Danio rerio: one gene and its partners. The protein of the gene in region 1 binds, or shares a complex with, the protein of each later gene. Links are inferred from orthologs where the notes say so. Each region holds a gene or a part of one and is shown in the gene's direction. Other genes may lie near its edges.

Region 1 (5,146 bases):
ATGTGGAAACATGAGCTATAGTGGCGAGGTGCATTTAAACAGTAAATATCTTCATAAGATTTAATTAAATATGTAAATACATTTGTTGCATCTGTTTTGCAACTACTAAATTATATTTTATCATCTTGACTACTTTAAAAACAGTCCAAACTCGACTAACAGTGAGTGTAGAAAAAGCGCTGAAGACACAACGTGGCTGTGCTGCAGAGCAGGCCACATGAGACCCGCTTTACCCTCATTGACACACCGCACTGGGGAAAAACGAGTGAGCTACAAAATTACATATGTACTAACAGCATTTGCATTAATAAAAATCCTTAGATTGTACGTTTTGTCTTTTTGAAAGTCTCGGACAGCACTGCTAACTTCGCCGGCTAGCTAAGTGTAACCGTAAAAGCTACACAACTGCAAGAAAACGGCTACAAATACATTTAATTAACACAAAAAAATGAGCTTACCTTAAAAATGGCATAGCCGGCGGCAGTTTCAAATAACACTAACATTTTTGAAACAGCTTTTCTTGCTCTGAATAAAGTTTAAGGTCGAGCTCCCGAGACCGAGAGCCTTCCGCTACAAGAAGTCGCTCTCTCCACGAGGCGCACATGGGACAGGACGAGCATGCGCAATACTGCCAGTGAAATGTGCGCATGTGCAGTAGTCTCAGCCTCATTTTCATGCACCATCACCTCGTGTTGATTTTCAGTTTTCGAGTTTTATATTCAAAGTGTGTAGAGACAATATTTTGGATAATGTCATATTCCAAATAATGAGGATGATGATGATGATGATGATGATGATGATGATGATGATGATGATGATGATGATGATGATAATAATAATATACTAAACAAAAGTTTTGTAAAAAAAAAAGATATTTAAATGTTTTAGACAAAAAGATGAATAAACAATTATAATATGAAATATTATTTCAATTTTAAATATCTGTATTGTTGTATGTAAATATGTTTAATATTCCAATGAGAGTTCAGAATTTGTTATGGTCAATTTTACTTGGTGCTCTATGATTAATAATAATTCTGCTTGATATTTCTGTTAAATACACAATACATTCAGCTTTCTAAAATTCTCAGAAGAAACTGTATTTGAAATAAAATGTTCAGTAACATTATACAGATTTTTTATATTACCTTTGATCCACTGAATTAGTCTTAATGTCTTTTTTAAAATCTATGGCATTAAAAGTTATAAATACATAAAATAAACGATTTATTGTTTTATTTATGCAGGAATTTGCGAATTTATTAACTAATTGATTTTTTATTTGCATATTAATTTATTGTTTTATTTATTTATTGCTTTATTTATTTACTTTATTTATTCATTGCTTTTTATTTTTTATCTTTTTAATTTGTGTATTTATTTTGTACATTTGTTTATTTATTTAGCATGTTTATTTATTGTTTTATTTATGCAGGAATTTGTCTATTTATTTATTAATTTATTTGTGTATTTATTTATTTATTGTTTTATTTATGCAAGAATTTGTATTTATTTATTTTTTGTGTATTTATTTATTTATTGTTTTATTTACACAGGGATTTGAGTATTTATTCATTTATTCGTGTAGTTATTTATTAATTATTTTATTTATGTAGGAACTTGTGTATATATTTAGTCATTTATTTATTTATTTATTTGCGTATTTATTTACTGTTTTATTTATGAAGGAATTTGTACATGTGTTAATTAATTTATTTATTTGCGTATTTATTTATTTGTTGCTTTTGCAGGTTTCGTCCTCCAGAGGTGTAGTGTAGTTGTCACATTATTTTTGCACTCTAATATTTCGTGACCAAAATACTGATGTGTTTTTTTTTTTTTTTTTTTTGCAAAATACGGGCCTCCCTATGTTTTACCAATAGCAACATCGCAGATGGCGATTGGAGCCAATCAGAAAGAGCGTGGTGAGAAAAACAACGCTCGTTGGGTCATCGACCCAGTGTCATAGAAAGTCCAGCCCCTTTCCAATGACGTCAACGGCGCTGTGTTGTGGGTCTGCTGGTAGCACTATCAAAACCTCTCATTACTGTACATAACACTGTATCGTTTAAATCAAACAATCTTGATCTACAGAAGGGCTGCACATTGCGGAATATCATGTCAGACACGGTGAGTCTAAACCTGTGATGCTGAATCGAACTTTCATGAGAGCAGACGAGAAAGACGGACTTATAGAAAATGAAAATAAGAGGGCCCAGCTTTTAGCCTGTCTAGCTGACTGTGGTTTGGAAAGTATTTTTGATAAAAATGCTTGAGTGTTTTTAACTGTGCATAGTTTCTGGTTCTCGCAATTTACACATTAGTCCAATTTACTGTGTTCACAAATGCCAAAAATATGTGAATTTCTTCCTCAAATCGTCCAATTAGCATGTGTGCTAGTTAGCTGCTCTGGGCCCTGAAAGCAGAGTTCATAATATCTTGAGCTGATAGACCATGCTGAACATTTGAATTAGTTATTAATTGTTGATTTTTTGATATGTTCATTAGGATTATTCGTTATTTGTTCACGTTAGTTTGTGTTCGGTTTGTGCTCGTATTAACAGCTCGCGATAGAAGAGTAACGTTAGGTTGTGTGTTTACATTCAAAGCACACACACACACACACACAGCCTAGTGTTTAAATGATAACAACACTCACAATATTATTTTATATATAATATATATATATATATATATATATATATATATATATATATATATATATATATATATATATAATTATAATTTATTAAAATCGGATCTACCTTATTTTATACGATCTTCAGTCAATATTTTATTGAATTCAGTCCCAAGATATTTTTTTAATTCATTACATTAAATCTGATAAAAAAACAATATGACATGCAGTAATCGAATGCTTGTTTTGTTTTAATAGGAGACCAAGCCCTCAAGTGATGGAGGCGAGAAGAAGGATGGAGAGTACATTAAACTCAAAGTGATCGGTCAGGTGAGCAAAAGCACTTGTTTTCTAGGAAATGCAGGTTTTCATATTTAAACCCATTACTGTTTAAAACCAATCCAGCTGTTCTTTTATAATGAGATATATGAAAAGATCTGAACAGATTTGATGATTTCCTTTCATTTCGCAGGACAACAGTGAAATTCACTTTAAAGTGAAGATGACGACACATTTAAAGAAGCTGAAGGAATCCTACAGTCAGAGACAGGTGAGTCAGTTTTTCCATTTATGAGGGATAACGATAAATCTACACTACCATTCAGAGGTTTTGGGGGGTGGGTAGGATTTTTAAAAAACGCACTAATGCTACTTTTATTCAATCAAAAATGCATAAAATCTGTATTATTGTGAGTATTGTTACAAATAGAAATACACTAACACTGTAAAAATCTTAACTGTGATCAAATTAATGCGTCATTGCCGAAACAAAAAACAATGTTTAAATAGTTGTGTATGTTTCAGTTAAGGTTCCTGAGGTCTCATTTATAAAACATTGCATAGAAACTTTCCTAAAAGTGAATGTACACCAGAATACATTTTTATTTATTTATTAATTATTATGGCTTTTATGATGATTTAAAGTGCTTGAATTAAGTCAATATTTAAGCGAAATGTGTTTACTTAAAGCTGCGCACATTCTCCCGTCAAGTTTGTTTTTTATAGATCATAATAACCTGTATAAGAAGTGGCGTACACGTGTTTCCACCCCCAATTTTGTGTATACCATGTTTATAAATGAGACCCCTGGACAGTTTATTCTCTCTTTCAGATCAATTATTTGAACCATGTTAGTTAAAACATAAAACGTCTGTAATGATCATCTAAAGGGGGTGGAGTAACAATTTATTAAGAGGAAATTCACATTAATAGATGCTTTTAGTTTTGGTACAGAAAATATTGTTACACACAGGATATATATATATATTTTTACCCATTATGAGTTTTGGTAATAAACATTTAGTTTGCTTGCCTCGGCTTTTCTTTATCTCTGCTTTCTTAAATGAAACGCAACGACACAAGTATTTACTTTCTTTTACAAATATTATTGACAATATTCCATATCATACTCTCTGCTATTATAAATAAAACATAAACCCATTATATAATGACATGCAATCTAATTCTGAAATATATATATATATATATATATATATATATATATATATATGTATATGGTCAAAGATGTAAAAAATATATTTATATTTATCTGTTGCTTATAAAGTTACATGTTTCAGAAATTACATTTTACAAAAGTATATTTTTGTATTTAAATAAATTACTATTACAGTTTTATAAACACTCAAACCACTGCAGAAATGTTGCATATATCATATACACTAAAAAAAAAGACTTTTGCGGCTTGTTCAAAGTACTTATATATAATTAGCTGAAACTTGTGTTCTTGAGGACAACTTAATTGTTTTAAGTTAAGCCCACTTAAATTTATGAAAAAAAATTAAGTTTAATCAATTTATGATGGGCCATGTAAAAGAAATGTGTGGACCATAGCATTTTTACAGTATATTAGAGATCAATTTTCTATACAAGTTAAAATCATTACCTTAAATGTTTGTTTTAACAGTTGCTGGAAGTGTGTAAACAGGTTTTTGATTGTAAATGTAGCTTTCTTCACGAGTCACTGCTGCGTTTAAAATGGCATAAATGTTATGGGAGTGCACTATGGAGATAGCACAGTTGTCAATTTGAAGTTTATAAACTGAACTGTAATAAGAATAACTTTAATATAAAATGTGAACAAGACAACCTTTAATGTTTTTAAATGATTCAGAGTATTTGTGTTCAAATGGACAAGGGCATAGGGTGGATGATTCAGAATAGAACACAGCCTGGAACTCTGCATCTAACTACAGCTCTAGAGGTGTAGCTCCAACCAACCAAGTGTGTGATGCTGTTTGTGAATGTTTGCTATAAGATGTATGGATGTATATTTGGAATAACACTGAATTGCTGAACTATTTTTGTAATGAAGGAAATTGTGATCTTAGTTGGTTGGCGATGGTTTTGTGAACAGCACCATTATTCTAGAAAATGCACAAAGACAATATCAGAATTTGCTTTAAACAAAACGATTTGAGAAGTTTAGAACAACTGAATGAATTCAAGTCTTGTATTTTCATTACACACCGCTGTTTGTCATTTTTAAAA
Region 2 (5,159 bases), on another chromosome or scaffold:
AGAGTCCCTGTCACTATACTGGGGCATAAGGACCCACACAGACCACAGGTTGGGTCTCATCAACAAAACTTCTGACAACAACCTAGCTTTCACATGTGGTCTCCCATCCAGGTACTGACCGAGTGCAGCCCTGTTTAGCTTCAGTAGGCGACCATGTGAGAGTCGCAGAGAGCTAACTGCCGGCATTGCCAACATTTCCTTTTCAAAGTGCCAACAATGATCCAATACCAGTTCCAAAAGTGCATTCTACTATTGTTCTCCTGTTGTGCTTATAATTAAACCATGCATGCACTTAGTAATAAAACATTTCTTACATTAGACTTTGAACTCCAAAACATGCCTCCAAAACATTTATTCATCCATTTTCCTTCGGTTTAGTCCTTTTATTCATCAGGGGTCGCCACAGTGGAATGAACCAGGAACTTATCTAGCATATGTTTTACACAGGGGATGCCCTTCTAGATGCAACCCAGTACTGGGAACCACCCATACACTTATTCACACACATACACTACAGCCAATTTAGTTTATTCAATTCACCTATAGCGAATGTCTTTGGACTATGTGAGAAACTGGAGCATGTTATCTTTGGAAATGTCAACTGACCCAGCTGGCACTCAACCTTCTTGCTGTGAGGCGACAGTGCTAAGCACTAGTGGTGTAAAGTAACTAACTACAAATACTCAAATTATTGTATTTGAGTATTTTTTCTCAGGAATTGTAATTTACTAAGTAGTTTTATAAATGTGTACTTTCACTTTCCCTTGAGTACATGTTTAGTGCTTTATCTGTACGTTTACGCCACCACTTTCCTTCAACCTGCAGTTACTACTTTATTTTTTCTTTGTCTTGTCTTTTATTGTCAAATTGCATATAGGAGGTACTTTTTACTCATACTTTAAGTAATATTTACAACAGCTATACTTTTACTCTACTTGCTCTACATTTTTAGGCAAGTAATGGTACTTTTACTTATGATTTTTCAGTACTCTTTCCACCACTCTGTGGTCACTGTGTCACCCTTGGGATTTTGTATTTTTATTTAATTTTGAAATGTATTTTAAATACATTTTTAAAAGGTTAATCTGTTGATTGTGCTTTTTATGATATGCTATTAAGGCCTACTTTATATAAAATAAATCTTTGAAAAACATTGCTCTATAAATTGATTAATTATTTCTAATTAATAATCAACTCATTATTAACCCTTTGATGCACTAAATGGGTCTAAAGTGACCTGTCTCTGCTTATTTTTTCTATATCTATTTTATAGCTTGTGCATCAAAGGGTTAATACAGTTAACAATTAATAATTCAGCTTATTTATTTAATTTGTTATTTTATTTAATTTTCTTCAAAATGTAGGCCTCTGGTCTGGTGTTTGGAAAAATAATAGAGATTTTTATTGCCTGTTTTCTTTATTTTCTTTTACTCTCAGGTAGCCAGCACATAATAATTGTAGAATTCAACCCTCACACTACTAGTGGCTCCCTGATAAGTATCAGTTTTGTTTCTGGAGAAGCAAAACACTAGATGAGCACCTGCTAGCGCTAAGAAATTAAATTTGCTTCATTACCACATCATGTTATTGTTATCTGAAGAACTGTACAATCAGTTTATTCTAGAGTCTCCAGTTCCCTACGAGGCGCTGATACGCATCTAAATGATTAGCGTAGCAAACAGATCGCAGAAGAAAAGCAAAGCATTCACCCAATCAGCGATCAGTATACTGACCGTCAGCGAACCAGCGCGCCGCATGTTGAGCTGTACAAAGATCCAGCGCCGAGTTTCAGGATCCGAGCGCGTAAGTTCGTGTTTTTTGTCTATTATTGATCGACTTCGAATAAGACTTTATTTTAAACATAATCACGAAGCGTTTGCGAAGGTTGTGAGGAAACTGACAAATATGAAATTACACCTTAGCTATCGTCGTTTTAATGCTTTTAACAAATAAACGGAAGGAGTCTGTATGGCATGTCCGAATTAAAGAGCTACAGTCTTCAAACCAAAAGGCAAAATAACTGAAATTATTACATTTATATTTATGTTAAGTGTAAACAGTGTGAAAATCTCATTGACACATCCAGTTAAATCTGGTTGATATGGTATTAAGTCAGTCAAAAGACATCATAAACATAGTTACCGCTCAAATTCACTCGTATTGTTATTGTGTTATAGGAGACGGATGTGGAGGCATATTATTGGATATAGATACATGTTATACGTCTTGTGTGGTTTTGTTTAATGTCTGATAATTCTTTTTATCAAGATGGTGACGAATCATAAGTACTAGTTAACCGAGTTTGTTGTGTGTGAATCATCATAGTTGTGTCACATTATCACATGATCGAAAGCTAGCAATATGAAGTAGCATTTGGCTACGATTTTAAGATTCCTGTCTTTAAAATTCTGGTTAGATATTTAATTATAGTATTTCGTTTAACTATGTAATGTTTTCTCTTCAATTCAGAAAAATAGGGACATTTTAAACGTGGCTTAGTATATCAGAACAACAACAACAACCAGAGAAACCCACATATCTGTCATAATTTACGTCAAATAAACTCTATTCCATAGATAAAGTGAACAGAGTGAATAATTTCACATTAAGTGTTTTCTCCCCTATTTAAGTCTGTTATGAGAAAAAAAGCCTAACTGCTTATTGTTAAGGAACATTAAGCCGTGTTAAGCTTATCTTATTCCTTACTTGGATTTCAATGGGGAGAAAACACTTAATGTGATATTGTTCACTTCATCTATGGAATTAGAGCTTGTTCATTTTACAGTAATTAATGTTAATTACAAATTTGACAGAAATTATATACAGTTTAAGTCAGAATTATTAGCCCCCCTAAATTATTAGTCCTCTGTTTATTTTTTTCCTCCAATTTCTGTTTAACAGAGAGCAGGTTTTTTCAACACATTTCTAATCATAATAGTTTTAATAACACATTTCTAATAACTGATTTATTTTATCTTTGCCATGATGACAGTAAATATTATTTGACTAGATAACTGCTTTTATGCTAGCCGAAATAAAACAAATAAGACTTTCTCCTGAAGAAAAAGTATTATCTGGCATACTGTGAAAATTTCCTTGCTCTGTTAAACATAATTTGGGAAATATATTAAAAAAAAAAAAAAAAAAAAAATATATATATATATATATATATATATATATATATATATATATATATATATATATATATATCAAAGGGGGGCTAATTATTCTGACCTCAGCTGTAGATGAAGTTTTTCTATTTCCACATTTGGACTTTCTCCTTAATATAATCTCATAAAAGTATTTGCAAATTCTAAATGGAGAAATTATATTAGCAGCCGATGACTATCAATGTAGAACATTGTTCACAGTCAATAAAATGGTGCTTATGTTGTTTTGAAGTCATACGTAAATGCAATTTCAGACCTAATATTAAAAGTAGTGTGGTAAACAATTTAGAGATCGTTAAATGAATGAATGTGCAAATATATCACCAGCTTTACCTCAATTTAAATAATGGTTACACACACGGCATTGTTGGTTTACAAAAAAAAATTAAGCAAATATAATCCTGTTGCACGTCTACATTTGATTTTGGTTTTATTGTAAAGCAAACTCAACCAGAAATCGTATTAAAGTAGAATCTGAGGTAATTTATGACATACTTCAAAAAGTAAAGATGATTTAGTGTTCAAAAATGTTTTATTTTGAATTTTTTATTTATTTTTTAATACATTGGTCTTATACAGTTCATGTTTTCAGATTTTTCATATTACAGTATATGTATTTATTCCAGGTACGTTTACTGTAAATAAACCAACATATTAACCATTTGGTAGAGGTTGATATTTTAGAAATTATGGGATGTGTTGACAAAAATTCATTAAACGTGTTAACTATCGACATTGGGAGTTAAGAAATGGAATTCCAAAACTATTCTTGGTTGGGGAGTTAAAGGGTTATGCGTTTAAGCGTTTGTCCCAAAAATGACATTGTTGATATTATTGTTTTCCAGGTAAATGCTGATTTTGAAACACCAGTTTGGATTTTGACTGTCTTGATCAATTCAATGCTCAGTGCTCAAGTATGTACAGACAAGCAGAATACATAAATATTAAATATTTAAAACGCATACCTATTGTGTTGATGTCATGATAGATAAACCATGCTCTTGGATATGCTGTTCTGTAAAATACACCCAAAAATATCACCTTGTCCCTTGTACATTTCTTACATCCTGCTAGTTTCAGTTTCACTTAAAAATTGATTTGACATTTAAATGTTGTTCATATTAAGGCCATATAACTCCTTTTCATTTTAACCTTTACATTCCTTTTTCATTGGAGTAAAGTGAAACTGTTACAAACTTTTGATTACTGAAAGCTTATTTGGCCATCAAAACTGAATATTTTTTTTTAAAGGAAAAAAAACATTGCCCAGAAATCCCCTATTTTATAACTCAAAATGTCTTTTTTCCCATTTTAATTTAAAAACGTTTTCAGTTTTAATGGTTGAATTACATTTTAGTAATTAAAAAGATACATTTCGATGAACAGGACAAGCTTTTTGCTGTTACAAATATATATTAATACAATTATATTATACAATTTCATATTTAGGTAATCTGAAATATTCTTCATTTTTAAAAATCATTTTAAGATTAAAACATGAATAAAATGTTGTGTAATTATTTTTATTTTTATATATAGTTATGATTAGGGCTGAAGAATATATTGTTTCAGCATCAGTATTGCAATGTATGAATCTGCAATAGTCACATCGCAGGATCTCCAATGTTGAGTTGAGATTTTAATTGTGGAGTATAATTAATTGTGAATAAAACTAAACCCTAACTGTGAAAGATTGTTTTTGGATGTGTTTTTTTTTTTTAAGACCTGTGACTAGGATTTCAAGGAAATTTAAACTAAGACGTTATTAAGTTTGAAGCTTTCACAACGATTCATTTATTTGTTTATTTATTTTTTTATACATTGAACACTATATAGTGTTATTTTACATATAATTCTTGATTTTCTGTTCCTGAATTATGTTAGATTCCACAAAAAAATGTAAAAAACACAGTTTATTTAATTAGCTTCTTTATGCTGTTGTATTCATCTAAGCTTTTTATATCTTATACATAATTTATTTGCCTACAA
Region 3 (5,170 bases), about 1.8 Mb from region 1:
AAATGTTCAGTTTAGCGTTAAGCTAACTAATTTCTGTCTTGATTTTTCTTGTAGTATGGGAACTGATGCGGTGAATCCCAGGATTCCAACTGGACAATGATGTTAAACTCTGCCTCTTCTTTGCTTTTGATCCCTAATCCTCCTACATTAAAACAAAGTTTTAGCTTTTTTGTTTAAACTACTTATTTAAAATGAGCTAAATTAACACATTTTAGTTGTTTTTAGGACAACTTCATTGCTTTATGTTCAATCCACTTCAATTTGCAAAAACAATTATGGTAGCTTAATCGATTTGTATTGGGACAACATGAAGGAATTGTGTGGAACTCTGCTGTTTTACTGTGTAATTTGATCCCTATATATATACATATATACACACACACACACATACAGTATGTATAGATATTATTATTTATTTAAAGAAACATTGTGTTAGACTGGGACTTAACGCATCACTTACAACTTTAATTGACATCTTTGTGTCGTTCTGATTGTTTCTATTCTCATTTGTAAGTTATTTTGGTAAATTCATCTAAAAAATAAATGTGTTTCATATACATAAATACAATTTAAGAAAGCTCCCAGTATCTCATTTGCTTCTTTGTTTTCTCAAGCCACATTGCAGACAGATCCCACGTTCCCAAAGACAGAATTTACATCGACATAAATTGTGTTTTTGAACAAAAGCATTTTATTTTTCTACTCTTCTCCTTTACAATTATTGTTTAAGTATTTGACAGATTTCATTAGTACTGTAATTACATGTATAGAAACAATGATGTTTTCAAGCACACATGTAATGATGTTTTTATAATCATATACACACTACCGGACAAAAGTTTTGGTTTTAAAATAAGCTGATCCTGTTTACCAAAGCTGCATTTGTTTAATCAAAAATACAGTAAAAACTGTAAAATTGTGAAATGTTATTGCACTATAAAATAGCTGTTCAAACGTTGTTTATAATTTAATTTAATAGTTTATTCCAGTGATGTTAAAAATGATTTTTCAGCTTAATTACTTCAGTCTTCATTTATGTAGTTATGTTAATAGTTTTAAAATAGTTTATATAGTATTTTTGAAAAATATAACATTATTTTATTTAGGGTTTTGTTTGTTTTTCGGAATAGCATATATATATATATATATATATATATATATATATATATATATATATATATATATATATATATATATATATATATATATATATATATATATATATTTAAAAGATATTCAGATGTGTTTTCTTTCTTTAAAACTACTTTTAAAAGTAAAAATGTAAGGGCAGTGACTGTTTTGCCATGCTATATTTAAAGCTGCAGTACAGTATCGTCTTGCGCAACACAAAGCTGAACGCCATAAATATGGAGTTACGTCATATCAGGTAATGACGAAACGCCTTCTGTGCTGTTAAAGGTTTTTTGACATAGAACATGTGAAAGAAAACAGCACAACCACTAAGCATTTCTGCCTTTCTGAGTCACGTGACGCCCAGTGCCGCCTGTGATTGGTTGCCCGATTTGCCTTCACAAGATGAAAAAGTTCTAAATCGGCGTACATAGAGTGGAATTTAAATGGATAAAATGTAAGTAATTAAAGTGTGTGTTTTTATTTAGCTTGTGCCATTTTAATAATAACTTTTCGAAAAGACAAACTCCCTAGCGCTAAACCGTGGTGTAAAGGAACTTTAATCTCCGGGCGGAGTGCAGAGTGGGAGGGCTTGACCGATAAACAGTGCCATGGTGTCGCAGTTGACAAATCAGTGACGCAGAGCACGGCTACGGAAGGCTATTGAAACACGAGTGGCTTGAATTTTCGGTTGCGGGATCTCCACTATAGACCTGGCCCCAACAAACGAAACAGAGTCTTATTCTTCGTGGTGGTTTGTAATGTATGAATGGATAGCTGACGTATTATCGTCGCTGTTCCTGCCTCTTTCTGCTGAGAAATCCGAAGACTGGCCTAGTGAGCGCGCAAACGGTAAAGCGCGAGCCGCGGCCACAGACACTCAGCGGCAGGAGAACAGCAGGCCCGCCAAACGCAACTATCAGAGGTATTCGTCTTTTTCTTTATGTCTGAATGAAAATTTGTGCTTTTGTGTTTATTACACAGTGCCTTGCATAGACATGTGCCAGTCTGTGGTTTGTTATTGTAAGTTACCTGAACAATAGCAAGTGTAGCTTATTAGCATTTGACTTCAGGGTCAGGAATCAGTCCAGTGTAAACAATTAATCAATAGACGCTTGATTGACAGCAAACAATCACAATTAAATTAATGTTACACTATAAAGATAATGTAAATTATTTTTTTTAGATTGCTGTAGCATTAACTAGACTTTTGATTTGACAATATTTATTATAATATGCTTTTGTGTAAATGTGTAAACATTCGTGATTTTAAAATAAATTATTGTTTTAGTGTCAGTTTTTTTTCCTAGTGAGCCTAACGTTAATTTATGTTGTGTTTTATTTATAAAGATTATTCCTTTTTATAACATGTTTATCTTTTTATGTGTTTCAGCGTCTACTCCACTGATGGGGTGTCAGAATACCCAGAAGTCAAAAGAGCAAGACATGGTAAATGTTTTAAATATAAATAAAAATGGAAATGCACAATGTTGGAAAATCTGTAATATACTGCTGTAGATGTTGTGATATGGAAAATAGGGATGTAACGATTCACCTGACTCCTGATTCACGATACTAATCTCACGATTTAGTCACGATTTTTTAACAAAATAATTTTAAACAAATTTAAGGTGAAGAGCCTTTTTATTTTTTTCTTAAATGCTGCACATTTTTTGCAAAATAATATATATTTTTTGCCATAACTATATTGCTATTTTAGAATCAAATTCCAAAAATAAAAAAATAAAAGAATAATACTAACTAAAGAAGAAGACTCGTTAATAAAAACAAACTAAAGCTGTGACTGCTGGGATTTTACATTTAAATAAAAAAAGAAACGGTTGCATATCTTTTTTTTTTTTTTTTTTGGCATAAGCTTTACACATTTACAATGTCCCCTGCTGAAAAAACTACTTCACTGGGGACTGAGATCGCTAGAGAGGTAAGCCTTTCCTAAGTGAGAGCATTGTGTACAGAGGTGGTCAATGGGCTCTCTGGTCCAGAGAACTGTACGCTGGCATAAAATACTGATTATAAAATTACTAGATAGATAGAGACAAGAGTTAAACATGATTATGAAGGTGAATAATTAATATTATTTGTATAATTAATTATTATAAGTATCAGCGTGATACACTTTAGAAGAGATAATCTTGAACATTTTTAAATAATAATAAGCAAATTATTAAAATATGACTTATGTGAAAAGAAGAGGGTAAAAACAATCAAACACCTGGTTCTGTGACAACAACTTTCTCTTTCAGTCTGAAAAATATCTTCAAATATTTGCTTTGAAAACACTGATGCGCTGAAAATACTGTGTGATCTCTGTAGCACTCGTCTGAGCTAGCAGAGCTGCAAATCATCCAGTCAGCGTGGTTTGGCTTATTAATAGTTTTGTACATATTAGGGCTGGATGATATGGGCAAAAAAAATCATACCTCGGTACTTTTAGGAGGAATGACGGTATACGATTATATATCTGGTATTTTGCCATAAATGGTAACTTGAGAGTTAAAGCCTTTGTTAAACAATTTTTGAGCAAAATATAATTCAACCACAGAGGGTTCCCTCCCTGTTTACAAATAAACAGCTGCACAAAATCTTTGATAAATAAATTACAGTTCAGTTTTTTCTCCTGCTTAAAACTATAAGTTGCAAAACATTTCAAGTTATAAAAAAAAATCTTTGATAAATACAGTGCGTTTTTTTCCTGCTTAACACTGAACTCAGCACTTCTGTGCTGTTGTGCAAATAACAAAGTAAACAGAACCATAGAGAACATTGTCAGAGCAAAAAAGGAACCCACTTAAATAGTAACAAAACAAAAAGTATTGTAGGATAAAAAAGAACCACATTGAATGTAAATATGAAACGCACAGTATTTTATCACAATTACAGTGTTATAAGAAATTCTGCAAACCATAGTTGTGATTTATAAACGACAATTAAATCAGCTGTATATGTTTTTTTTAGTTACACATTTACATGTCTGTATTGTGCACAATTATTGAACAGTGCACATATCGAAGATATCTAAAGATAAGTCTTTCACTCCATGTACAAAATCCTGCACTTTTTCTTTTGTTTTGACTAAACATGTTTTATTAAATGAGGACATGAAAACGAACAGACTATAGATATATGAGAAGTAACTAAATAATTTTAGAGTACTGTGATGAAATGCTGGTTAAGCATAGACATGTAAACAGTCATTATAACACCAGAACGCAGAGCTAAGTGTTATAATGTAAATGTTAAAATGAGACTGTTGTGTAATTAGTACTGACCTCATAATCCGTAAATAAATTTGTCAAATTTTGGCGTTTTTAATTCTTTTAAACACATTCAGGTGCTGGTTGTCAATTTGACAAGGCTTCTATGTTCGTTCTTACTGTCAATTGCAAAAGAAATGATTGATAAAAGGTTTCTGATAAACCGCTGTGACAGCTGCAGTCGCTGTGTAACGTGCGTGCACGCAAGTGGGGAGTCAGATTTCGATACAACACCGTAGGGTTGTAACGGTATGAATTTTTCACGGTATGATAATCGTCTAAAACAATACCACGGTTTGACGGTTTCGCGGTATACGGTATGTTACAAATGTTACAAAATAATAGAACAGTGAAGCAAATTTGACTTTTTCCAAATAATATATTTTCAGTTACTATAAACAACACCACTTACAATGAACAAATAAAAATAAGAAAATAATAAATAATGTGTCAAAGTCCAAATAAAGTCCAAATAAACATGGTGCAAATCCTCAGTAAAAAATAGATATAAATATTTACTATACTATAAATAGTTACATAACGAAACTAGATTCAATATGGAACATCCTTAGGTTTTATGTGCCAGCATGGATATGGTTGTCTATCGATATGGATTTGGATATGGTTGTCTGCAATGCAGACAAACAGCTGCACCTTCATTTGCGTCTTTTGAAAACAGCAAGAGCAGCAGTTCGTCTTTGCTGTGTCACTGTTTTGTCATGTTTCTGTGCTGCTGTGCATGCAAAAGTACTTAGTATGAGAAT
Region 4 (5,114 bases), on another chromosome or scaffold:
AGTGACTGAAAATGTCAATTTGATCATATTCTGAATGTTTTCCTGATTCGCTTGTGACCTTCCAGATTGCGCTGTGTAACGTTTCAAGATGGCGTTTCGTTACCTCTGTACGTTTCCCAGAAAAGGCGACTTTAATCCCTTTGAAAGAAAAAAAGCAAATGCCCGTGCTTTTTGTTTTTGGAAAAAAGCAAAGGACAAATCAATAGTTGGATAGAAATATGATGATATTACTCGACCTTTCGTCAGTGAGAAGGCTGTTGTGTTCGTGGTTGGCTGTTGGGGAGTTTGGATGGACAGTCATGCTTTCCACAGCCATTTCCTCTAACGTACTACATTCAGTGCAAAAAATCAACTGTCTTATGCGTTACTTGACTTTGATCTACTTGTTGATTGGCATTAGGAAGAGATTCAGTTCATTGTAGTCAATTCCCCCCTAACAGTTTAAAAGAGAAACAGGTTGAAAACGTTCCTGAGGTTCTCCGTCCTACAGTTGCGATGTGAAATGAAACTCATTCTCTTAAAATGGCGACGCTTCTTCTCCGAAGAGAATGGGCGGACTTACGTGACGTCGACTGTCACGGAAATGACCGATCGGGTCATGAAAAAAAAACACTTTTTTTTTTACTCTAAGGGTAATGTAATAGTTAAAATAGTATATATTAACTGTAATCATGCACATAATATCTTAATATAAAACGTTATTTTTATCAGTATTTATTATTATTATCATCATCATTATTATTATCATTATTCATTGTATTATTACTGTTTTATCAAAAAAGGGGCCTTGCAGTTAAAATATATCAACATTGCATTATCTTTGGTATCATATGTTTCAATACCTATTCTGGACCTATATATATATATATATATATATATATATATATATATATATATATATATATATATATATATATATATATATATATATATATATATATATATATGTATATATATATGTATATATATATATATATATATATATATATATATATATATATATATATATATAATTGAATATAATAACTCTAAAGTATCAGTTTTATACAACTCAACTTTTTATTTGATTCTATTTTGCAAGCACAGATCTAGAAAACAATCATTTAATGCTATTAATAGTGATCTACACTCCAATAAATATAATTCTGTCACGTTTATGTTTGCTTAAAACCATTATTATTGTAAATTATACTATTACATTTTGTTTGAAATTAAAATCTTATTTTGCCAGTGATGGGTTGCAGCTGGAAGGTCATCCGCTGCGTAAAATATATGCTGGATAAGTTGGCGGTTCATTCTGCTGTGGCGACCCCAGATTAATAAAGGGACTAAGCTAAAAAGAAAATGAATGAATGAAAATCTTATAATGATTGTCAAATGATTTGTCAAATCCTTTGAGAATATTTTTAAAAATAAAGAAGACTCTATATTATTTATACTCTTTATTATTTAATGTCTCTTAAAATAAAAAGTACTAATTTTCTTTTTTCCATTTCTTTGCAAGTAGACTATTATAAAATAGTAAAATGCACCATTTTCACTCATATCTGGACAGAAATTTTAAGTTAAATTAACACCATGAACGGACCTTTGCTCATAAAATTATGCATTATTAAAAATTAAATTCATCATATGTACATGACATATTTTGGTGACACATTTAACGCTCGCTAGATGTATAAAGGATCCCTGATAAATGTCCATTGTCGAGCTCTGATTCTGGCACACATCTCCTGCGTCATCATTGCGCGCCTTTACGAGTTTCACTAAGCGGCACTTTTGTCCCATTGAATGGGCAATAGAAAAAATAGAGCGTAGAATAGTCCAACTAACCCGTAGTTAATTGATTACAGCTTATCATCAGAAATACAAATATTCCGAGATGATCGATACCATCGAAAAAGAAGACACTATTATTAGTGAGGAGGAAGCTGCACAATATGATCGCCAGATTCGCCTGTGGGGTCTCGATGCTCAAAAGAGGTTCGTGGATAAAGGTTTCGAGCAAAAAAACAAAACTTAATCATATTTTATGGATCTTGTTTTTAGATGATTGTTTGTGTGTGCAAAAAACATAAATTATAAGTTGGGTTAAATGTAATTAATTATTGTGATTAATCCATCTTTCACAGTCGTCTGAAATACAATGCGTGAAAACAATGTTCGTAACTTACTGGTTGTATATTGCCAACATAATAATGAATTAATGTTATGTACGTGTTTAGTACTTGTCAAATGTTTTAAATCTTCATTATTTTAAATGTTATATAATAGTCTCTCATGCTCACAACATGCGCATAAAGGTGAACACATATTGTATTACACGATGTAAAAATAAGTTTTCTAGTATCTAATATGTTATGTGAATTTCTGAAATAAATGCACAAACATTACACATTTGAATGCTCTTAGGTCACAGTCTCTACAAAGTGGCACTAAGTAACTGTTCATACAGTTATACATAATATACAGTTGATTTCTAAAGCATAGTGTGACACCTTAGACTGCAATTTAATAATGATGGTCTTTTTTAACTTAATTTTTAGCACATAAATTCACTCATGGTGAGCAAGAGAGGCTTTATTAACAACATATAAATCACCATGTTTCCAAACATTTGACCAGTACAGTAATTAACAAACATAACTGCATTTTCAGACTGAGGGGATCACGAGTACTTCTTGTTGGTCTGCGAGGTCTTGGAGCAGAAGTAGCAAAGAATCTTATTTTGGCTGGAGTCAAAGGACTGACCCTCCTGGACCATGAGCAGGTATCAAATAAAGTGCTGTCTAGCATATTAGCATTGCACTCATCAGACATCTTTATTGAATGGAAAGGAGATACATCCATTCATTTTCTTTTTGGGTTAGTCCCTTTATTAATCTAGAGTCGCCACAGCGGATTGAACAGCCAACTTATCCAGCATATGTTTTACACAGCGGATGCCCTTCCAGCTGCAGCCCATTACTGGGAAACACCAACACTCATTCAGGCACATACACTACGGACAATTTCGCTTACCCAATTCCCCTGTAGCGCATGCTAAGTGCCAACTGACCCCCCGAGGCTCGAACCAGCAATCTTCTTGCTGTGAGGCGATCGTGCTACCCACTGCGCCACTTTGACGCCCTAAAAGAAATGCAATAAAATTGAATTATGAGCACATTAATAGAAATATAACTTGGCAAAAAAAATTCTTATGACTTCCATCGATCAGGTGACTGAAGAGTCCAGGCGCGCTCAGTTCTTGATTCCTGTGGATGCAGATGGTCAGAACCATGCTCAGGCCTCTCTGGAGAGAGCTCAGTTCCTCAACCCCATGGTGGAAGTAAAGGCAGACACTGAACCAGTGGAGAGCAAACCAGATGACTTTTTCTTTCAGTTTGATGCGGTGAGTTACAAAGCCAACATTATATTCCTGGAAACTGCATAATTTACATAAATAAAGCATACAAAAAGGCTTTTATATGTAATAATAATAGTAATAGACACTCTTTAAATAATAACCACAGAATAATAGTTTGCAAAGGCAGAGAGCTAATTCCATCCGGAAATGCTCTATTGCTTAAAAAGAGGCATTTCATATTTTACAACTATTTATAAGTGGTAAATGGCTGAAATTAATATCCAGTGGTAACTATTTTCAACTTTTTTTCCCCAAATATAGTCATTTTAAATTGAAAATGTGGTACTATTTACATAGTTCAGGTTATAAATCAATGAATGTGATGATACAAGGTTTAGATTTTTTGAAAGTATTAGGCGTAAAAAAAAAGAGTGTGTGTGAATAATTTAAAAAGTGATTAGCAAACAATTCAAAACAATCACAATAAATGCCTAAAGTTGATCAATACTATAATTTGTATCCATTTATTTTGTAATAATAAATTATAAACAATGCGCTACAGTAAATAAACTTCTTTAAATGTAATTATATTGTTTTTTTTTTTCGCTTTATATTGTTGTCTAAATGTATTATTAACTTAGTGAGTTATGTTTTGGTCTCACTGTCTGCTTGTTAAGTCGTGACGTATGGAGTACTGTTTCTGGGTCTAAGCCGCTTCTCATTTGAATCGAGCAAATATTTGTTCATGACCATTTTACATCACACATTAGAGTTGATTTTATATAAAATCATGATGTACACAATAGTCTCTGGGCTTGCTACATCACAGACACCAATATTATAACTATTTATAAAAATTTATCACTTTCTGGCCACCGGTTATTAGGCATGGATATTTATATTACTATCGTGATTTTTGAAAGTATTACATCGCTTTGTAAACGTTTATTATTTCCATTTGTTGAGCCTTCCCATACAGTTTGATAAAGCAGTTGGACCTGGAAGCAACTTTGCATGACCTCACACTTAACAAGGAGATGTTGATATTTTTTATTGAAATGTTTAAAAATAGACAAAGAGTTCAGATGCAAAAACCTCTAAGTGCCATCTGAAATTTTCTCCTAAAATTATAAATTTTTCTCAGGCTACTGTGTTTAAGTTGAGTAATTTCTCTTTTTTGTCAATATGTTATTTTTATTACCTTTATTGTTAAATTAGAGAACATAAATATAGGAGTCTTGGAAAAATGCCTAGTTTAAACGAAATTTCAGATTGCACTTAGAGATTATAGCATCTGAACTCTTCATATGAAAACATATATGAATCCCTGTAATAAAAGCACTTTCTCATACTTTTGACAATACAAGAGACGTTTTGTATTTTCAACATAGTCATACAAAAAGGAATACATTTTCCAATTAAAAAAAAAACATATTTGCAAAAGTTTAAATGATCACATTAATTTAAAGAAGAATTAAGCCTAGTATTTCCTTCACCCTGCTATACTTGTTTGAATACAAGTTTAGAATTAATGCTTGTTTATACAAATTGTTTGACCGAGTGTTGAAGGCATGGTTGTGAACTTGGTCTGATATTATTTATTGAGCTATTATTTAATGAATGTTGTAAGAAAAAAATGAAGATGATGTAGAAGATCTTAATGAAAATGTTTATACATCATAGTAGTCTCCAAATACACGGCAGTACCCTGTTTTTATCAAAGTCAAAATGAACCCTTAACTCTTAAACTCCAACCTTTTATACTGTT
Region 5 (5,115 bases), on another chromosome or scaffold:
AAATTTTAATTATTTAAAAAATATTTCCCATGTGTTGTTTAACAGGGAGAGATTTTATTCATTTATGTATTTATTTTTTATTTCAGTAGTAATAAGGGCATATTAATAACTGTTCTAATTTGTAAATGAGAATATGAAATGTAAGCATTGGGTTAAACAGAGGTCTGATCAGGAACGAAAACCCTCAGTCAATAATCTGGTGATGGTAGATTAGCTCTGAGCTCCATCTGCTGGACAACAGACTGTAACTGTCATCCTGAAAAGCTAAATTGGTATGTTCACACTATAAAAACACTTAATCGTGAGACAAAATTCATTACAGTTCCTTAATGGTTCTCAAAGTTTTGGCTCCAAGACTTCATTTACAACATTTGGATGACTTTCAGTTGTTTAACATGTTAATCAGTTAAATGGGGCTTGGTATAGTTATGTATATAGTGTATACAACTATACACTACTATAATCATAAGCTGTATACTAAAACATAATATATATATTTTAGATATTTTTAATGATTTCCAACATCTACAAAGACAACATAAACAGTTGTTAATGTGTGGATTATAAAAAAGTTTTTATTTAACCATTTTAAATTCTCAAGGCTCCCTTAGAGTGACACGGTGGCTCAGTGGTTAGCACTGTCTCCTCACAGCAAGAATGTCGCTGGTTCGAGCCTCAGCTGGGTCAGATGGCAATTCTGTGTGGAGTTTGCATGTTCTCCCCATGTTCGTGTGGTTTTACACTGGGTGCTCTCCTTTCCCCCACTGTCCAAAGACATGCTATAGGTGTATTGAATGAACTAAATTGGCCATAGTGTTTGTGTGGGTGGGAATGTCAGTGTGTATGGGTGTTTCCGCTGTGTAAAACATATGCTGGATAATTTGGCGGTTTATTCCACTGTGGTGACCCTTGATTAATAAAGGGACTAAAAGCCAAGAAGAAAATGAATGAATGAATGAATGAATGAGGCCCCCTTAGAATTTTGCTGCCCCCTGGTGGAACACCACTAGCATAAACTAAATGGTCTCAAACTTAATTCCTGGAGAGCCACAGCTCTGCATAGTTTAGTTTCAACCACCTCCAACTCACACCTCTCTAGTAGTCTTGAATACCTTAATTAGTTGAATAAGCCATGTTTGATTATGGTTGGAGCAAAACTGTGCAGAGCTGCAGGCGACCCTCCAAGAACTGAGTTTGAGACCCATCTATGCTGTACAGCTTTTTTACTTCATCTTATTTGCCTTGGTGCTAAAAGGTTTGTTGGAATCACATTAGAGCTTACATGAGGACATACTCTCAGAAAAACAGTTTCAAAACACATTTCTAGTGGCGAAAGAGAGTACAGGAATCACACAATGCAAGTAAAAACGCTTCCAATATATCTGCGATATTTAGGATTAGATTATTGCAGATAACATTGCCACCCAAAAAGACTAATTAACAAACATAACATTGAACTAAAATGTTTATAAACAATTTGAACTGATTAACAGGATTTTACTTTTCGATGGCTAAATGATCTCCTCCTTGTGGAAAAATAATTATAATTTCGTTCACAGCGAAGGATTCTGTGGTTGATTACTGAATAACGGAAACTATTCCCAAAATATGGGTAAGGGGAAAAGCAAATCAGGGAACCTCAGAAGAAAATAAAAATGCACAAATGAACGACGTGACCCCTTTAACCAGCCTGTGTCACGTGACTCGACATCTCCGGACTAGCCAGGATGAGCGCAGCCAGAAAATGGCGGATATTGAGGAGTTACGGGTAGGCGAAAGTGCAATGATAGCTGGCTACTTCTTTGCGTCTTTCACATGCTGAAGGCATTTTGCAGTTGACGTTATGTTATGCTATTATGCCCGTCCGTTGGCCTTTGATGCGTTAGTTTCTTCATAGTTAAAAGAGAAACGCGACATCCCTCCGTTATTCGGGTTATGGTTAGCCTGTTAGCCACCAACCCGCTACTCGTTTAGCTCTCGAGATGCTACACAAACGTTGAAGATCAGCCTCAAAATGCCACTGCTTTTATTGCCACCATTGACTGCATGAAAACGCTTTATTATAATGCCTAACTGAACTTGACGACTGTTCGCTTCAGGTAAAAAGTTTTTACGTTCTTCACTGCTCGACTTGTTTTGGCTGGTCTTTTGTTAGCTAACGTTAGCGTCCGGCAGCTATTGACATTGTTTACATGTAACTTACACACAGGTGATGCTTGATTTATTAGAAGTGTTTGCAAGGGAGACATATGTTTAATCCAGCGTGTCCAGAGTCTCTTTGTGCGTGTAAATGAAAGTGAACGTGCGTTTTATATCATAATTGCTAAGTTAAACAATGGAAAATATACACACTGAGAATGTTGTTTACAAGCTCTAACTGTAAATAGTTTGCGGCAAACAAAACAAACTTGACTTCTGTTTCATATTTTCCTCAACATAAGCACTTTAGTAGTGTGATGCATACATCACTTTTCTGAAATTGAACGTATTCAGCTCCAACAAACGTTAACCATGCCATAAGAAAGGTATACTGTGTGTACTGGATACGTTAATGTTAGACACTTGCTGTTATATCTGTCATTACATAACTGACTGATTCATGCTGTCCTGTAAAGTGTTCAGAATTGTCCAGATTTGCTGTAAACCAAGTTTCCCGCCAGCAGTTCTGTTGATTTCTCTTGAGATCAACGTGAACATCTGTTTTGTTCTTTGTCATGTTCTCGATGTTCATCTAATGGGTCTTGGAATTATTCTCAACATTTTAGATGCATTTCGGTCATTTGTTAAGGATTATTAAAGAAAAAAGGATTAACACGTAAGAACAATCAAGCATGGACCGTGTAATGAAGGGTCAGTTGAGATTTTCTTATTTCTTTGGGGTTTCTTGAAAGGGTGTTTTTTGGGTGGGCTGTCACCTCACTTCACACATAATTCTTTGTTAATTAATCTGGTTACTAATTAAATGACACTTTTTGGTTTAAAAAAAACTGTCATAACCATTTTCCACAAGCTTATGCCATGTTGATTTTGATGCAAAGGTTTATGTCTTGCTAAAATCTTAAAACAAAAGTTGTAAAAGTACACAAAATGGCATAGAGGGTGGTTATATTTACTAACCTGTGGCAAATGTATTCTTACTAATGTGTGGTGTTTCTTTTTTTTTTTTGTTGCCTTGTCTGGATTTATTTTTCAGAATATGGTATCAAGTTTCCGTGTCTCAGAGCTCCAAGTACTGTTAGGTTTTGCTGGAAGGAATAAGAGCGGTCGCAAGCATGAACTTTTGCTGAGGGCTCTGCATCTACTGAGGAGTGGTTGTAGTTCTGCAGTGCAGATCAAAATCAAAGAACTGTATCGGCGGAGATATCCAAGGACATTTGAAGGTCTTCAAGATTTGGCGGCACTAAAGTCAAGCATTAAATCCTTCATTCATCTGGACAGCGGTGCCACGGCTGTAAGCTCAGATCTTACTCTGCCAACCGACCATTCAGACGTCCTGCAGCAGCGCCGGGAGAGCTGTGATTCACCTGTGTTTCATGAGTCAAAGCCCATGATGAACATGCAGCAGCCCACGACACTAATGGCCCCCGTCCATCCGGATGTGCAGATGAAGTCCTTACCGTTTTACGATGTTTTAGATGTCTTGATCAAACCATCAAGTCTAGGTAATTGTCACATGCTTGGTGAAATAAACAACAACACAGCAAAAAAATAAATAAAAAAAATCAATGCATTCACATTATAACTTTAAAGTTTAGCAACTGACTTTAGTTTTGGTGGTTTTGCAATTATTAAAAAGTTTTGGGTCAATGAGTTTTTTTTTATTTTTATAGATCAAAAGCGATTGTAATGACAATTTCAATTAAATGAAAAATTCACATTTTAAGCTGCTGTTCTTTTGAACATCTTTTGAAAAAAAAAAACATTCCACAAATATTAGCACAAGCTGGTTTCAACATTGATGGTAGTATATAATATATAAAAATAAATTGATGTTTTTTTTTTGTTGCATCAAATCTGCTTATTTTTCTTATAAGACTGAAGTCTGCAGTAATGATGCTGAAAATTTAGGCCATGTCCACACTAATGCGTTTCATTTGAAAACGCATATTTTTGTCTCCGTTTTGCCCTTCCATCCACACTGAGACGTGTTTTTAGGAAACAAAAACGTATCTTTTTGAAAACGCTCTCCAAAGTGGATAAATTTGAAAAAGACTTTTTCGTGTCGTAGTGTAGACTGTGAAAACGGAGTCTTTCGAAAACGATGACGCGTTTTTTGTCATGTGACACTCAGTCATGTTACTAATTCGTTTACTTTATTTTCGTTGTGATTATGATTTTAGTGATGTCGTCCTTACTGTGAGGGTAAGCAGCGTCATCAGCAGGATACTGTTCTTTAAAGCGGTCCAGTATATCGGCGTATTTGTTTTGGCACGTCTCCCAGTCTACATTTCCACTCTCTTTTGCAACTTTGTATTCATGTGTTACTCGAAGCAGCAACTCTACTTCATTGTCAGTCCATTTAAAAAACTATGTGCTTTTCCTTGACATTTTGCAGCAACGTTTCAAAGAGCCGGAAAGAAAATAAACGTCAGCCGGAAATGACGCTTGACGAAGCGTCTTACGTTTCACGCATGCGCAGTACAGGTTAAAAGCATTGGTAGTCGTTTCAGTGTGGATGACAAAGTTTTGGAAAACTAATAGAAACGTCAGTGTGGGCGTGAAGCGTTTTTAGAGGAAAACTCCGTTTTCAAATTTATCCGGATTAGTGTAGACATGGCCTTAGTTTTGCAATCATGAGATTGGGTTTAGGTAAAGGAGTTTGTGATCTTCATTGTCATGATTAATACATTTCTGGCAACAGTGGACCAATGTAGTATATAGTTTTCATTTAGAATTGTTATAATATTGAGTCCAATTGTTAAAAACTGCTTCATTTTCACAAAAGAATTAATCATTACTTGCATGAATGTGAAGATCTTTGATATGTGCTGGAGTATACTTGACAGAGTGGTTCTCCTCAGGGTCAGATAATAACCTGAAAGTTCCCTTTAGCTTAGATTATGGTGTATGTTCATTGTAGCTTTGCTTTAACAACATTTCACAATGCCACAGTGT

Evidence for each region. Proteins that work in one complex are often made in the same cells at the same time.
Region 2: the proteins of sumo1 (region 1) and daxx are in contact, whole or in part, in an NMR structure (PDB 2KQS), measured with the Homo sapiens proteins. The link is inferred for Danio rerio from reciprocal best matches to the Homo sapiens genes SUMO1 and DAXX. Residues at the interface, in NP_001005781.1 of Homo sapiens: Lys17, Glu18, Tyr21, Ser32, Ile34, Phe36, Lys37, Val38, Lys39, Thr41, Thr42, His43, Lys46, Leu47, Ser50, Tyr51, Arg54, Gln55; in NP_001135441.1 of Homo sapiens: Glu731, Glu732, Ile733, Ile734, Val735, Leu736, Asp738, Ser739, Asp740.
Region 3: the proteins of sumo1 (region 1) and senp2 are in contact, whole or in part, in a crystal structure (PDB 1TGZ), measured with the Homo sapiens proteins. The link is inferred for Danio rerio from reciprocal best matches to the Homo sapiens genes SUMO1 and SENP2. Residues at the interface, in NP_001005781.1 of Homo sapiens: Asn60, Arg63, Leu65, Glu67, Gly68, Gln69, Arg70, Ala72, His75, Glu89, Tyr91, Gln92, Glu93, Gln94, Thr95, Gly96, Gly97; in NP_067640.2 of Homo sapiens: Asp386, Lys394, Leu395, Arg396, Trp410, Leu411, Asn412, Asp413, Glu414, Thr440, Phe441, Pro444, Lys445, Arg456, Trp457, His474, Val477, His478, Trp479, Met497, Gln542, Gly545, Ser546, Asp547, Cys548, Gly549.
Region 4: the proteins of sumo1 (region 1) and sae1 are in contact, whole or in part, in a crystal structure (PDB 3KYD), measured with the Homo sapiens proteins. The link is inferred for Danio rerio from reciprocal best matches to the Homo sapiens genes SUMO1 and SAE1. Residues at the interface, in NP_001005781.1 of Homo sapiens: Asp30, Ser31, Ser32, Glu33, Ile34, His35; in NP_005491.1 of Homo sapiens: Thr179, Lys180, Val181, Ala182, Lys183.
Region 5: the proteins of sumo1 (region 1) and pias2 are in contact, whole or in part, in an NMR structure (PDB 2ASQ), measured with the Homo sapiens proteins. The link is inferred for Danio rerio from reciprocal best matches to the Homo sapiens genes SUMO1 and PIAS2. Residues at the interface, in NP_001005781.1 of Homo sapiens: Tyr21, Lys23, Val26, Glu33, Ile34, His35, Phe36, Lys37, Val38, Lys39, Thr42, Lys46, Leu47, Ser50, Tyr51, Gln53, Arg54; in NP_004662.2 of Homo sapiens: Lys466, Val467, Asp468, Val469, Ile470, Asp471, Leu472, Thr473, Ile474, Glu475, Asp479.

Annotation. Positions count from the first base shown.
Region 1 is NC_133181.1:10,602,599-10,607,744, forward strand, and holds the start of sumo1 (small ubiquitin-related modifier 1), read left to right. Parts: upstream 1-2,016; 5' UTR 2,017-2,118; coding exon 2,119-2,130; intron 2,131-2,896; coding exon 2,897-2,968; intron 2,969-3,110; coding exon 3,111-3,188; intron 3,189-5,146. Other genes in the region: nop58 (nucleolar protein 58), read right to left, coding at 459-503. UniProt on the Homo sapiens protein: Ubiquitin-like protein that can be covalently attached to proteins as a monomer or a lysine-linked polymer.
Region 2 is NC_133194.1:8,084,253-8,089,411, reverse strand, and holds the start of daxx (death domain-associated protein 6), read left to right. Parts: upstream 1-1,753; 5' UTR 1,754-1,755; coding exon of another isoform or gene 1,756-1,803; 5' UTR 1,804-1,819; exon of another isoform or gene 1,820-1,936; coding exon of another isoform or gene 1,937-2,011; intron 2,012-4,015; coding exon of another isoform or gene 4,016-4,084; intron 4,085-5,159. UniProt on the Homo sapiens protein: Transcription corepressor known to repress transcriptional potential of several sumoylated transcription factors. Down-regulates basal and activated transcription.
Region 3 is NC_133181.1:12,355,271-12,360,440, forward strand, and holds the start of senp2 (sentrin-specific protease 2), read left to right. Parts: upstream 1-1,764; 5' UTR 1,765-1,892; coding exon 1,893-2,056; intron 2,057-2,524; coding exon 2,525-2,580; intron 2,581-5,170. Other genes in the region: zgc:112416 (uncharacterized protein C21orf58 homolog), read left to right, coding at 55-100. UniProt on the Homo sapiens protein: Protease that catalyzes two essential functions in the SUMO pathway.
Region 4 is NC_133190.1:26,187,834-26,192,947, forward strand, and holds the start of sae1 (SUMO-activating enzyme subunit 1), read left to right. Parts: upstream 1-1,708; 5' UTR 1,709-1,882; coding exon 1,883-1,983; intron 1,984-2,658; coding exon 2,659-2,770; intron 2,771-3,217; coding exon 3,218-3,391; intron 3,392-5,114. Other genes in the region: zc3h4 (zinc finger CCCH domain-containing protein 4), read right to left, coding at 237-316. UniProt on the Homo sapiens protein: The heterodimer acts as an E1 ligase for SUMO1, SUMO2, SUMO3, and probably SUMO4. It mediates ATP-dependent activation of SUMO proteins followed by formation of a thioester bond between a SUMO protein and a conserved active site cysteine residue on UBA2/SAE2.
Region 5 is NC_133180.1:42,368,068-42,373,182, forward strand, and holds the start of pias2 (E3 SUMO-protein ligase PIAS2), read left to right. Parts: upstream 1-1,709; 5' UTR 1,710-1,744; coding exon 1,745-1,768; exon of another isoform or gene 1,769-2,099; intron 2,100-2,765; exon of another isoform or gene 2,766-2,850; intron 2,851-3,193; coding exon 3,194-3,662; intron 3,663-5,115. UniProt on the Homo sapiens protein: Functions as an E3-type small ubiquitin-like modifier (SUMO) ligase, stabilizing the interaction between UBE2I and the substrate, and as a SUMO-tethering factor.